Linked DNA regions of Drosophila melanogaster. The protein of the gene in region 3 purifies or fractionates together with the protein of the main gene of each other region. This does not show direct contact. Each region holds a gene or a part of one and is shown on either strand. Other genes may lie near its edges. The genes, in order: Not10, Rcd-1 and roq.

Region 1 (4,776 bases), on a different chromosome or scaffold from region 3:
ACCCACGTAGTGCACCGCACTTTGATTTGTGGTGCCCAGAATGTAGTCAATGAAAGCGGCCACGTCCTCCGTTCCAATCTCGTGCCAGCTGAAGCGCCAGAAGTCCTCATCGGAGGGATCCAAAGACACGTGGCGTCGGGAATACCGAGTGCCCCGCGAGTTACTCAGCCAAACGTCAAAGCAGGCGTCGGCCAACATGAATGGCAATGCATCCCGAGGTCCATTCACTAGGAAAACATCCGAGGAGGCGGTCATTCCGTGCTGGAAGAGAACCGCCGGCTTTGTTCCAGATTGCTCGCAATAGATTGAGTTCGGTATGCGGAACGCGTTGAGTAAATACCCATCTCGTGTGACCACTGTGTGAATTTCCACCGGATAGTTGTGCGAGGCTATGATTTCGGCCTTGGAAAAGAGAGCGTAGCACTTGCCTATAGCTATAATTATCGACTAAAAAGCACTTACAGAAGTTATTCCATTGACTATTTGAGTACAGACACTCAGAATGACAAGCGTTTTATACGGCATTTCGAGTAAGAGTAACTTGCACAAGTCAAAATAATTCTGACCCAACTTTTAAAATTCCTGAGATAGATACTTAAAATTTAAGTGTCCAACGCTTTAACGTAGAGGGTAATCTAATTTGTAGAATTCCTATGAAAAAGTCTCAATGACTGGAGTATGCAAAAGTTCAACGTAAAATATTGTGAGATAATTTGCTATTGCCAACACCAATTCTCTGTGTACAAATATATAAGCACATATGGATTAGTTAACAGACATTGTTTTATACACCTTGTTTGCACCCTGTAAAATGCTGAAAAACTGATGATCGTCAAACAAATAGTTCGCTTCCTCGTCATTTCATTCTTGCACTTTAATTCCGTCTAGTTATATACACAATTTGTTGTCTAACTCGGCGTCCCGCCAGGAACGGGACCCATTTTGAGGTCCATGAAGCGTCGCAAAGCAAGCGCCTTGTTGGCAACCAGCGAATGAGTTAAATTGGCCAGGAGTGCTTTAGCTTGAGGCAGGTCGTTCTGTAGAGCCATGGCAACGGCCAGATTATACCGCACAACGTTCTGAGCGGCGTCCACCGACTTCAGTTGCCAGTCACGCGTCTCAAAATCGAAGGCGTTTAGTGTGCCCACAAAAGTAGGGTCCAAATGGTCGCGTGCCTCGCTGGCCTTGTCCATAAGCATCAACGCCTCGCCAGCGTACATGTGACCTAGCAATCTGAAGAAAAAAAGGTAAATATGTTAAACCAAACATGGGAAGATTAAATAGAAACTGTATTGTACTTGTGTGCATCGGACAAGCGTTCACAGGCCAGCAGTTTTTCCGACATCTCGAGCGCGGTCACATGATCGCCTAGGCGCAGCGAGACGAAGCTGTGAGCAGCATATATGGCAGCCATCATGTTTTCCAAAGACTCTAGGCTGACTGGCTTCGAGGGATTGCAGAAGTTATTGTCCTGGGGATGACGCCAACTCTCCTGAGTTGGGTCCTTGGGTTCGGGTGCTTCCACATCCTCCGAGGAGACCGCCGCCATGTGAAACCTCGTCTTGTAGTGCTGCGTAAGCGTTAACGCGCTACGTAGACACAAGACAGCGAATTCCAGCGTGGGCTCTGGAACTCCCGCCGATTGAGGACTAAAATTAGGAAAAGTTTACTACCAGCAATGAACTAAGCTAACGAATTAGCACTTACGCGTATGGCTTTGTTGATGGCGTTTCTGACTGCGACTGGCGCTCCTCCTCCACTAGTTTCTTTAAAACAAAATAAAATAATTTGAGATTTAAGACAAATAAATACCCTATTGTGACTCTATTGTACTAGAACATGTTAGTGTAAAGTTGTCTTACCGCCTCATGCTCCATGATGCAGGCCTCAGCCATGCGCAGCCAAAGACGTGGATTGCTGTGGAATTGCTTAACGGGAACCAGAAAGCACTGAAACGCCTCCTTGGGGCGTCGTAGGTGCAACATGGCCACACCGAGGTTGTAAAGGATCTCGCAGGACCGTGCCGAACTCATGGTTTGCAGCGTACTCTGGCGCAAATTTCGCGCCAGCTGCTGGTCAAAGTTGAGCGCATTTTGGAAGAACTTGGCGGCGATGGCATAGTGACGCACTCTTAAGTGTATCACTCCCATATTGTTGGCAATGCACGTGCTCAGCTGGGGGGTTATAGTGCTATTAAGATAGACAATAAAATAGTATGTCTTCTTTGAACTTAAAATGAAGCAGACTCACCCCGCTTGTGTACACTCGTTATTGATTCGCATAAGCTGCTTGGCGGCCATCTGAAAATCCTTCATGATGTAGTACTGCTGAGCCTTCAGAGCAGCGTACTCCGGCGTGCCGTCTTCCTGAATAACCACCGGTTTTCGGTTAAGCACGAGCGTTATTAGCTGCAAGAGCTGCAGACTACCGCCCAGACCGGGCACAGCTCCCTCCACAGCTGCTCCTCCTGGTGAGGCCACCACTGAACTGTTCGTCGCTGCTGACGGAGGTGCTGTGCCGACAACAGCTGCCTCTTCGGCCGCATTGCTGCTAGGCGCTGTGGCCACCAGGTTAAGCTTGTACTGCAAGTAATCCAGAAAGGCCTCGGCTCGGTTTAGTTGATTGGTGGCCAGCAGCAGCTGTAGCTGTAGTGTGGCCACCAGCGCTGCCATTGCCTTCTCCAGGGCTTCCAGACGAGCCACTAGTGGTGCTAGTTTCTCCAGTGCCGTGCCGAACATATGGCGGTGATAATAGATGACCGCCCGGTTGTAACGAGCAACAGTGGCGGCGGCAGCTCCCTGCTTAAGGCTCAGCCCGCTGGACACGTCTCCGGGCGCATCTGCATCGGCGGTTAGAGCCTCCAGTTCTTTCAGCAGGACGGAGTGTTGGGTGCACCCGGTTTTGTAGTAGCTGACCACCGCCCGGTTGTGCCGCAGGACAGGACCACTGCTCTCGCCGCGCGTCTCCAACTCCTGGAGCAGTTCCAAGCAGCGATCAAACTCCGAGCTAGAATGAGGAGCAGCCGGAAAGGAGTGGCGGTTATGGGTGCACTTCCCGGTGACACGCGGATGAACACTCACTTGTTGAACTGCTCGTGCGCCTGGCACAGCAGACTGTAGTTCTCGTCCTCGCCGGCCTGCGTTTTGGTGGGGGATTCCGCCGAGTCCATGCCAAAAATAAATAAAAACAAAAAAACCGAACCAATCCACAGATGACACAGCGTTGCCAGAATCAACAAGCACAGCGTTGCCACTTTTAACCGTAACTAAAGCGGTTAACCTTATTAATAAATAAGTTAATTCTTAACATTAAACAACTTGTTAAATTTCTTGTTAATTTATTAATTAAAAATTAAATTGTTAATATGAACAAATTAAAATATATTCTATATAAAATTTTAACTTTACAATGGTCAAATTGGCATTTTGCTGTCGATAGGTGGCAGCACATCACTAGTCTAGATTTGCAGCGCGCGAAACCTATACCTTTATTTCAACTGAGACTTTTGTTTGTGATGATATATAATATTTAGAATAATAAAATATCCATTTATCGTTTACAATTTTTGATCCACCTACCCACCCAACTGTAATTATCCTTGCATTCAATCGAAGTTTCCTGTTTCATCATATTGTTATTAATCCTCGCCTGGTTTATATGATGGGAACTACATAGATTCAACATCGACCAGTTGAAGAACAAACTTCCATCCCGCAGAATTGGCTAGGAAAAAGGCTAATATTTTATACAAAACTCAACTTAATCTTCAGTTGCGCATCATTTTCAAGCACATTCAAATAATATCAGCAGTTCAATATTTTTGAATTATTTTAATTTGATTCGAAGTACAATATTATTCACTAAACTGTTTCAAAATATTCAATAATTTGCATACACTTACAAGGGATCGATTTTGGGGTCAGGATGGCTCCCTTATTTTATTTGCTGCTTCATTACCGCTGCAATGGTTCAAAACGAAGAAACTGAGGATCGGGAAAATGGGAGGGGCAGCTCCTACTTTCGAGACTCATTTAGCGAGGGCGTAGTAGGCATGTCTTATGTACACTATTCGTAAATATGTGTATTGTGTATAATATATATATATGTGTATGTATATTGTTATGTATACCATATAAACTTGAATTTAGCATTAAAAATTCCCAATGCTGGTTTTTAACTAATCCCCGGGGGCTGAGAGGGGCTCAACATTAACTGAGCAGCAGCACTTCCCGCCTCGTATCGCGTCGCATAACAGATCCCTTCTCCACCAACCTACATCATCGCTCATCTGCTCCATCCTCCTCCAATCCGGGCAAGCACACACATTCACACGGCTTCCCATAAAGATTTCGTAGCAGGTTTGTTCGTTCGAGTTTTTGCTTCATTGCATTGCTATGGTTAGGGGGTTTCGATTGCGCCGGACTAAGCTGCTTATGTGTTCCGAATCTTGCCGGGCACGTAGTTCTTATCTATGACATTCTCCTGCAGGAACATATGCAGGCAGCGCTCGTTCTGCGCCAGCGGATGTCCGGCTATCTTGTTGATGAAGGCCTCCAGTCCCTTGCGCCGCTCCTCGATGAAGCTTTCGTCAAAGATGCCCTCGTCGCCGCGGAAGGGCATCTGCCGCTTCCATGCCTTTCCTGGGAGTGGTGGCACCACAATCTGCGGGGATATGTATGTTCATGATTAAATACTCTTCAGGCGCTTATCGAAGTTTCCGTTTTCACTTATAAAACTCAGGGTTAAGTTTCCTCTTAAGGATTGAAACTTTTCTAG
Region 2 (4,233 bases), on a different chromosome or scaffold from region 3:
AGCGCTGCAAACATGCGCACACAGCTGTCGACTGGGGGAGAACGTGAAAAGGCAGGAGGAAGATGAGGATGAAGCGGAATGGCTATGGCGTTGAGCGCAGAGGAGCGCAGCGAAGCAGCGGGATAGGCAAATACTGAGAAAGCCGCGCCGCCACGAATTATGGCCTGTTTGTTACTGGTGTGTGCTGGCAACACTGACGCGAATTCACCACGCTGGCGGCCAAATCCACCACAAGCAGTCGATGCCGCTGCATGGAGAAAATCCACACACACACACACACATACGAAGGAGCACGACACGCACACACTCATATGGGTTGGTTGCCCTGGCCTGCGTATATGTATGCTTACATTTCTACTGGCCAAATGCAAGCATCTATCTATCTGCACTAGGACTAATATTATTGTGAGCACGATTTTAGAGCGCAATATCGACAGCCAGTGCACTGGCAACAAAATTAGCAACAACGACGCCGCCGCCAAAGCCCTGACCCAACACCACCACTACAACCACTACCACTACCAATACCAACGACAACAACAATAACGAACGGGGCAAAGAAGAAGCAGCAACGACAAGCAAACGGCAAACTCACCATGCGGCAAAGTCGTCGCTCAGAGACAGACAAAAGAAGATGGTGGAGTAGAAGAGCGCCTGCTTTTGATTTGCGTGCACAATTCGCGATTGCGATTTGGATTTGCTATTTCGTTTGCCTTTGCCTTTGCTGGCATTGGCATGCTCATATTTCTATGCACTTTGATTGATGCTGCGCGACGCCGTGCGGCAATTTTCTTTTTTAGGCGTTCGGCGTTGTTGGGCGAGAAGTAAAACACATTTTTCCATACGATTCAATGCGATTTCGAAGCACGGGCAACACTCGACTCTCGGCCGCAGTAGGCACTACTCGCACGCACACATCGGCGGTGCACACGCATGCACACACACACACACAACAGCAACAGAACGGCACACACACACACACGCTCAGTCGTACGCACACAAAGGCAGCGACACAGAGACAAGCGCAACGAGCTCTCTCAGTCGCCGTTGTCCCACTTTCCGTGTATTGGTTTCGATTCGTACACTTTTCCACGCACTTTTAACGATTCAAATTCGATGGTACAGAAGGCAGGGCGACACGAGAGTGCATTGGAAACTGGCGCAAACCTCAAAAAAATATATCCAACACGCTGGCCGCACGCACGACTCGTATGCAGACTGGTTCTCGGCGCGCGTCGAACGTTCTTATGCATTCATTATTGAACGGAATGCTCTGTTTCGCCTGTCTGCTTATGTTTTTTTCTTTTCGATTCCGAGGTACTCGTCACGACAAATGAAAATCAGTGTGGCCGTTTTGCGGCTGTCAGCTAGATACCCGGCTGGCGGGGAATGTGCTAAGAAATACCACAAAATCGACGGGGATAGCCGGGATACAAACCAGTCGGTGCACTTGACTACCGCTAAATGCGTCTTTACTAAATTGCATTTTTAGCTTTTAGCATGCAAATTATGAACTATAACCTAATTAAAATACCCATTATGGTTATTACTTTTGATCAATGTAATCATCGGTCATTCGCAATCACGCGCTCACGTCCATTCATTATTTCTTTGCAATGTCATCCTTTTTCAAAGATATCAAGCCTATTTTCTTCAAAATTGTAGACTTTTGCATTTTGCACCAACAAAGCATGCGCAAGCAGTTGTATTTGGCAAATCATGTTTGATTTCATTCAGACTTTGTGTTTTCGTACGGCGGGAAGTTTCTCTGAAAATTTAAATTTATGTACATATTTACATCGACGCTGGAAAACAAATAGCGCGCTTGCGTTTCACCAATTTCCAGCGGCATTTGCGCGGTTCTGGCCACACTGTTCGGCACACAACATAATCCTGGTTGTCGCCACTTGTTTTCGATCATTTTAGACTTAAACCAATGCAAAAGGAATTTCCTGCTAACGTTATCGATAATCGCAATAGACGCCAAATCGCCAGTTTTACCTCTTCCTTTTTCGCAGGCCCCGTTCCGTTCAGCGAATTCTCGCCCGAGCTAAGTCTATTGCAAGCGTCCGGCTATAGAAATCGACGACAAATCGCTAGTTCCACCTCTTCCTTTTCGCAGGCCCCATTCCGTTCAGCGAACTCTCGCCCGATCTAAGCGTCCGGCGATAGGAATCCACCTCTTCCTTTTCGCAGGTCCCGTTCCGTTCAGCGAGTTCTCGCCGACACTAAGTGCATTGCAAGCGTCCGGCGACAGTTCTTACCCAGATCTTGTCAAGTTAACACGATGAGTGCTCAACCGAGTCCGCATATGAATCCTCAGCAGCAGCAGCAGCAGCAACAGCAGCAGCAGCAGACCGAGCAGGAGAAGGTAAGCCGATGTCGGCAAGAACGCGTGCTAGCTTTAACTTATCGCCCGCCAGGTGTACCAGTGGATCAATGAGCTGGCCCATCCGGACACGCGTGAAACCGCTCTGCTCGAGCTAAGCAAGAAGCGTGAGACGGACCTGGCCCCCATGCTGTGGAACAGCTTCGGGACCGCCTGCGCCCTGTTGCAGGAGATTGTTAACATCTACCCATCGATAACGCCGCCCACTTTGACGGCCCACCAGTCGAACCGCGTGTGCAACGCCCTGGCGCTGCTGCAGTGCGTCGCCTCGCACCCGGAGACTCGCACGGCCTTCCTGCAGGCCCAGATACCGCTGTACTTGTACCCTTTCTTGTCGACCACGTCCAAGACCAGGCCCTTCGAGTACTTGCGCCTGACCAGTTTGGGCGTGATTGGTGCTCTGGTCAAGGTAGGTTAAGCCGAAGGCCAGTGGTCATCTAATGCACTAATGCACTTGTTGTCTTCTTATTACTGCTATCGACAGACCGACGAACAGGAGGTGATCACCTTTCTGCTGACCACCGAGATCGTGCCCCTTTGTCTGAGCATCATGGACAGCGGATCGGAGCTGAGCAAGACTGTGGCCACTTTCATCATCCAGAAGATCCTGCTCGATGAGTCGGGTCTGTCGTACATCTGCCAGACCTACGAACGCTTTTCGCACGTGGCCATCACCCTGGTGAGTGTCCGTTTCCCGAAGCCTTATGCATTGTCTAAGGGTCTTTATCGATTTCAGGGCAAAATGGTCATCCAGCTGGCGAAGGATCCATGCGCCCGGCTGTTGAAGCATGTGGTGCGCTGCTATCTGCGTCTTTCGGACAATACACGGTAAGTCTTGGCGGGCGAGTAAATTATCGCTCGGCTTTTCAGTCTAGCCTTGACTCTTTCAGCGCTCGCAAGGCCCTGGGACAGTGTCTGCCCGATCAGCTGCGTGACGGCACCTTTGCGCTGTGCCTGCAAGAGGACAAGTCGACCAAGCAGTGGCTGCAGATGCTGCTCAAGAACCTGGAACTCGGCGCCACTCCGCAGCAGATCGGCATGTCGCCACTGGGCTCCTAGGGAGTGGAAGCGACAGCACACCCAGCACTATATTATCAATTCTAACGTCCAACCATCGATGATGAATAATCCACGCTGTTAATTACATAGCTGCTCGACCGAATATACATAAACATGCATACATACATACATACATATTTCATAAGCGTGCACGAGATTGCCTGTGTCGACTTAAGCGGAGCTGTAATATACCTACATAAATTACAAATAAATTAATGTTAATACTAAGATTGTCACTGACACCCAATAAAGAACCTCGAGCAGACGATACGATATAAATATTTATGCGTGTTTGTTTTTTTTTTTAATATCAATATTCTAACAGAGGATATTAACAATCCCGCAAAAGTTCATAATCATCTTTTCGCTGCATACTTTTGGGCTACTGTCCGGATTTGCTATATTTGCTATTTGCTGTGTATATTTGATAGTAGGGGGTGTCCCCGAACGAATCTTATAGGTTCTATATACATATGTAAGTTCTGACCATCACAATCAATCACTCTACTGAATGCAAATGGCTCATCCTGCGAGGTGTGTAAACAAAAGTCGAGAAAATTGCGCAGAAAGCGCATCTGCTGCTATCCCCGTCCCGCTCCTGGCCACGCAGCTGGCATGCTGCTGTCCCGCTCTAGGTCGCGTGGTGTGCACCAAGAGCACCCAGTGCTCCAGACCAGCCCAGCCCAACCCAGGAAAAAAAGGTAGTGCAGCGGGTGCAGTAACGGCAAAACACACATTCAAATGCATATAATATGGACACTCATATACAGCGCTTGCAATAGCTT
Region 3 (4,834 bases):
CGGGCAACATGTAGCCCTTGTGCAGGTTACTGTTCACACTAAAATTCGGTGGGTTGGCATTGCGTTGCGTTGGCGCTACCGGATTGGCTTGGTATTCTCTGGGCGAAGGAATCCTGGGCGTGCCACCGCCAAACCCGCTAAAGCGCGAATCGTAGCGGCTCGGCACTATGAGCCTGGTAATGGGACTGTGATGCGACGGCGGGAGACCACCACCTGGCGAAAGTCCCAAGCTGGGATCCAGATATCCCCTAGGAGAGCCCATATAATGCATAGGCGACATAGGTAACATGGGTGGCATGTTACCTAGAGGCGGTCCCTCCTGCTCGCCTAGTGGTTTCTTTATGGCTCCTACGCCTACCGCTGGAGGTCCCTGCAGCGCCAACGGTGTCTTCATATGTTTTCCTCGATTCCGTGCACGATAGCGTTCTACCTCCTCCTGGGAATGGGCAAAGGTACAGCTAGAACCTCGGGGACACACCCGCCGCACATTCAAGTCCCTGCATAAGCTGATCTTGTACTTCGGATTGCTATTGGTCGTCCCACCACTGCCACCGCCACTGATGCCGTCCTGCGCCTTGCGCACTCCGTGGTGCTGAAGGAAGTTCACCAGTCCAACGACCGAATGCCGCACTGCATCCAAGGCCTCAGCCAAAACCGACCACGGGGCAACCTCCGCACAGGGATCAATATTGGCCAGGTACTTCAGATGATGATGCAAACTGGATAGCTTCGCAGGATCGCTGGTCCGCTGCAAGGCGATGACCAATTCCTGGACTGATTGCGCAAAGGAGCTTGGCGTCTGCAGCTTATCGATGATGCTCTGCATGTGGCTTTTATGCATCACGTCGCCATACAATAGGGAAGACCATTGTTCCGGTGCAATTCGCAGACCCGCCTCGGTGGCTATCTGAACGATTTGGGCATCGTGCTCCCGGCGTAGGGCGTCATACGTACGGAATTCCTCTTTGAGCTGCATCAACGACGAGTCCGCCTCCCGCTTGGACACCTTGAAGCAGCTGGCGCGGTAGAGCAGCTGTACCACATGTCCGATACTCGTCTTGGAGGCCTGGGGAAACTTCGGCTCTAGTCGCTGCACGACGAACATGACCAGCACTTTGCGCGAAAGCGCTGATCCCTCCTCCAAGGCCAGCAGCACCAGTTTGAGCACCTCCTCCTGCATGGCGGGTCCAAGGAACTGGCATCCTCTTGTCCGCACTGCAGCCCACAGATTTGAGCTCAACTGCTGGGGATTTTGGTGCTGCAGGATCAGCTCGGTGACTGTGCGTTCGCCTAGGGATCTGGCTGCTCGAAGCGCTCTCACCCGTCCCTCCTCCTCCATCAGCTGGCAGTTGACCAGAGTAACCAGTTTCCGTAACATGGGTCGAGTTAGAAGATTGCCATTTCCGTTCAGGTTGAGGAAGGACTTCAAGTGCAAAGCCAGCTCCTCGATGCACCGCTGACCCAGTTGGTAACACTTAAGGTGCTCCGGCTCCAGCTTCTGCACACTGGGCGGTGGTGGTGCCAGCTCGAGGAGCTCCGAGTCCTTGACCAACTGGAGCAAGGCATGGTTGATGGGCAAATTGTCGATGTCACTGACAATCACGGTCTGAGAAAAGAGATTAGGGCAGATCGTTTAGGGTTGGCGCAATACTTAAATGGAGTTCAACTCACCTGATCGAAGGGACACTGCCGGTTGTAGAGGGTCGTCAGGCATAGCTTGCAGATGGTGTGCCCGCAGCCCAGACTGACCGGACATCGCTGGCTGGCCGCGAATTCATTGCAGCAGATGGGACAGTTCAGAAAATCTGTCCATGAGGGAGCCTGAATCGGCATGCTGTGCGTAAATTACATAAAAATACCAATTAAAATAAAATAAGCCAAAAGGTAAGGAAAATCTTATTTTAATGGAATCTTGGTGATATTGAAATCGGAACAAATTACCCGAATCAGGCTTGTTAAACATATTCTATTCATATATATTGTAGGAATGGCGGAAGTAATACTGCCTTTAAAATTTCATAGCATGAATGAGTAATGTTTCTTATCTTGGGTAAAGAAATCATGCTACAAATGTTCACACATATGCTCTATGGGTAATTCAATTTATGTATATCCTTATCAGATTTAACTTTATGGAAAACATTAGTTTTTTCTGAGAATGAAGTATAATATTTGAAACAGACTTGTGGCAGCCTACATCTATAAGTCTTAATGGAATCTATCACAATAAGATCTGTATAGAGCCCACCTATAAATACTTAAATTATCGATCTATAAAAGGGTAAATCGTGTAAAGATCTAATATCCCATAAAATATGCTCGTTATTATCGAATTGATGTAACGATGAAAGTGACGTGACTCAAGATAGTCTTATTTTCCTTTTACAACGATCAAAAGTGGCACAGTAAAAAGTTTCGCTTTCGTCTTTTTCTTCTTCTTGCCTTACCCCCAACGTCAGCTGTCGCCACACGCACACACTCGCGTGCTCCCCCCACACAGACACACACGCACACTCGTCTGCTGCTGTTTGTGTGCGAGGGCATTTGTACACGCATGCAAGTATATCTGTATGTATATATAGCAACTATATATTTTTATACCCCAGTTGCACTTCCTGGAGAACTTTTTCGGATCTTCAAGTGCTCAAAGGATCGCTAATATTCCTTTTGAGACCCCAGAGAGAGAGAGCCACTCACACACACACGCATAACTGCCTTTATGGGGGACACAAACGTAACTCGCTTTCAACGTCATCAAGCATCCGCTTTCTTTCGAGACGCGAACAAAGGGAATTTCGGGCAGTATCCTATAGGTTGTGCCAACCCAAGGAATGGCACCTTCGAAAAGTAGGGCCACAGGCCAGTGAAAGGTCCTTGAAACCAAGTAATCCCCCAGGAAAAACAATGAACTACACGAAAATCTCTCTCAACGTTTTTTTCGTTACGTTTCACTTTTCACTCTGCTTCGTGGATTTCGCACAAACTTGGTTTAATGCAATTTTTGGCACTGGTGCTGCACTGACTCACCTTCAAAATGCACATATTATTGCATTAAAGGTACGAAAATATGTTTTTTAATTTTCATTGGATTATTGTAAGAAATTTGGGAAGTTGCAATCAGTATGACCGCAGGTGACGAGCGGCGGAATACTGAATCCAGCTGGCTGAAAACGTTGAATGTCTTGCTGCACTGCTTACACGAAGGGTCGCACTAGGCGCTCTCAGCTGATTGCGATAAGCAGTTATCGTTTTGGACATCACTATCTATATTTGAAATTCGATAACCTAATTTTATAGCATTTATTGTATAAATGGCTAAAATATACAACACATGTTCTAATTAGAAAAACAAAAGTACAAGAAGTTTAAACTTTGTAACTACGACGTTTATATAAGTGGTAGAAGACTGAGAAATCTTTTCGATTTAATGTACAAACACATTAAATATTTGCCTCAAAGAAACTTTTAGTTCTTGTAAGTGAATTTGTGAGAAATTTTTTCGATTGGATGTACAAACACATATTAAATATTTGCCTCTAAGAATCATTTAGTTCCTGTAAGTGAATTTCGCATAAAATGTTATTTTATTCAGTTAACTACAATGGTTTATCGTACATATTCAATGTACATAATATTTCTATGGTCAGTGCAGTTGAGTTATTAGTCCATAGGTCGTATATTCCAAAACTGTTGCAGAGTTTATAAAACTCAGGTATGAAAATCTATTTCTTGGCAGCAGCTGCTCCATACGCAGAGGCTTTGCTGATCTTCGAAGCATTCACAGCGTATTCCATGAGGCTATAGACTGGAAGTACAAGTTGTAAAGTTAAGCACATATCCTCGAAACTAGAATTTCTCAACTTACATCCTCCCAAAATGGAAAGAACCGTGATGAAGCCAAACCAGTTGCCGGCAACCAGCGAGGTGACCAAGTAGTGCAGAATGCACAGGACGGCAAAGGTGGCCCAGCCCAAGAAGTTGAGGAGCGTGCTCAGGCGCGGCTTGTAGATTTTCTCGGGCACCTCCTTGACTCCGGAATTCTTAAAGAAGCTGCCGGTCTCGTGGAAGCTGTCGATGATCTTGTCCTTTTCCGCAAAGAAGTCCTGCATCCAGGCGGCGGCCTCCTTCTCGTCATCGGGAACCACGTCCAGTGGCACTCGGCGAATGTACATGTACGGTTCCACGGGCTCTCCGTTCAACTGGGACAGCATGGTGGGCTTTGGCTGTAAGTTAATTCAAGTTCGAAAATGTAATTTAAAATATATATACATATATATGAGATCTTAAGTTCTCACCTCGGCATTCTTCTTGAAGGCCAGATTGATGTCGTAGATGGCAGGACAGATGCCACGCATGGTGGGCAGACTGGTCGTGAATCCCTTAGTGCGCGGAATCAGATGGTGCTTGAGGAGGGGAAGACCTCGCTCCTCGGCGAACTTGACTGACAGCTCGTGTTTGGCGGGTGTGAAACGGGTGCCCTCCGCGTTCAGCAGTAGCCACACGGGATCCGGATAGGAGAAGACCTCCTTCAGCTGCGTCTTGATCACCACCTTGTCCTTCTCGAAGTTGCGGTCAAGGAAGATGAACTCGGCCATCCACCAGACCCATCCCAGGACCGGAACATAGCGCAGCATCTTCTTGGCATACGCCTTGGTGCCTCCCAGATTGCCCAGCTTGTCGGTGATCATCCAGGCGGTCAGCCAGTCGATCTCGTACGTGTGGTTCATCAGGAGCAGTCCATGCTCCTTGCCGAAGAACTTCTGCTCGTCCTGGGGATCGATGTACACCCTCAGCTTGCTGCCCGCATACCATTCCGCCACACAGACAAGGACTA

What was found.
Region 1: the proteins of roq (region 3) and Not10 purify together in Drosophila melanogaster (affinity purification with western blotting, with the first as the bait; one study listed by BioGRID). This does not show direct contact.
Region 2: the proteins of roq (region 3) and Rcd-1 purify together in Drosophila melanogaster (affinity purification with western blotting, with the first as the bait; one study listed by BioGRID). This does not show direct contact.

Annotation. Positions count from the first base shown.
Region 1 is NT_033777.3:12,629,108-12,633,883, reverse strand, and holds Not10 (CCR4-NOT transcription complex subunit 10), read right to left. Parts: upstream 3,238-4,776; 5' UTR 3,170-3,237; coding exon 3,081-3,169; intron 3,007-3,080; coding exon 2,251-3,006; intron 2,191-2,250; coding exon 1,863-2,190; intron 1,767-1,862; coding exon 1,708-1,766; intron 1,650-1,707; coding exon 1,299-1,649; intron 1,234-1,298; coding exon 909-1,233; 3' UTR 696-908; downstream 1-695. Other genes in the region: CG18530 (uncharacterized protein), read right to left, coding at 1-402, 463-525; Snx3 (sorting nexin 3), read right to left, coding at 4,432-4,662. UniProt on the Drosophila melanogaster protein: Component of the CCR4-NOT complex which is one of the major cellular mRNA deadenylases and is linked to various cellular processes including bulk mRNA degradation, miRNA-mediated repression, translational repression during translational initiation and general transcription regulation.
Region 2 is NC_004354.4:19,637,023-19,641,255, forward strand, and holds Rcd-1 (required for cell differentiation 1), read left to right. Parts: upstream 1-1,866; 5' UTR 1,867-2,287; coding exon 2,288-2,371; intron 2,372-2,423; coding exon 2,424-2,798; intron 2,799-2,873; coding exon 2,874-3,068; intron 3,069-3,125; coding exon 3,126-3,217; intron 3,218-3,279; coding exon 3,280-3,448; 3' UTR 3,449-3,724; downstream 3,725-4,233.
Region 3 is NT_037436.4:16,375,405-16,380,238, forward strand, and holds the start of roq (roquin), read right to left. Parts: upstream 3,163-4,834; 5' UTR 3,028-3,162; intron 1,835-3,027; 5' UTR 1,834-1,834; coding exon 1,672-1,833; intron 1,607-1,671; coding exon 1-1,606. Other genes in the region: Agpat4 (1-Acylglycerol-3-phosphate O-acyltransferase 4), read right to left, coding at 3,723-3,805, 3,866-4,223, 4,296-4,831.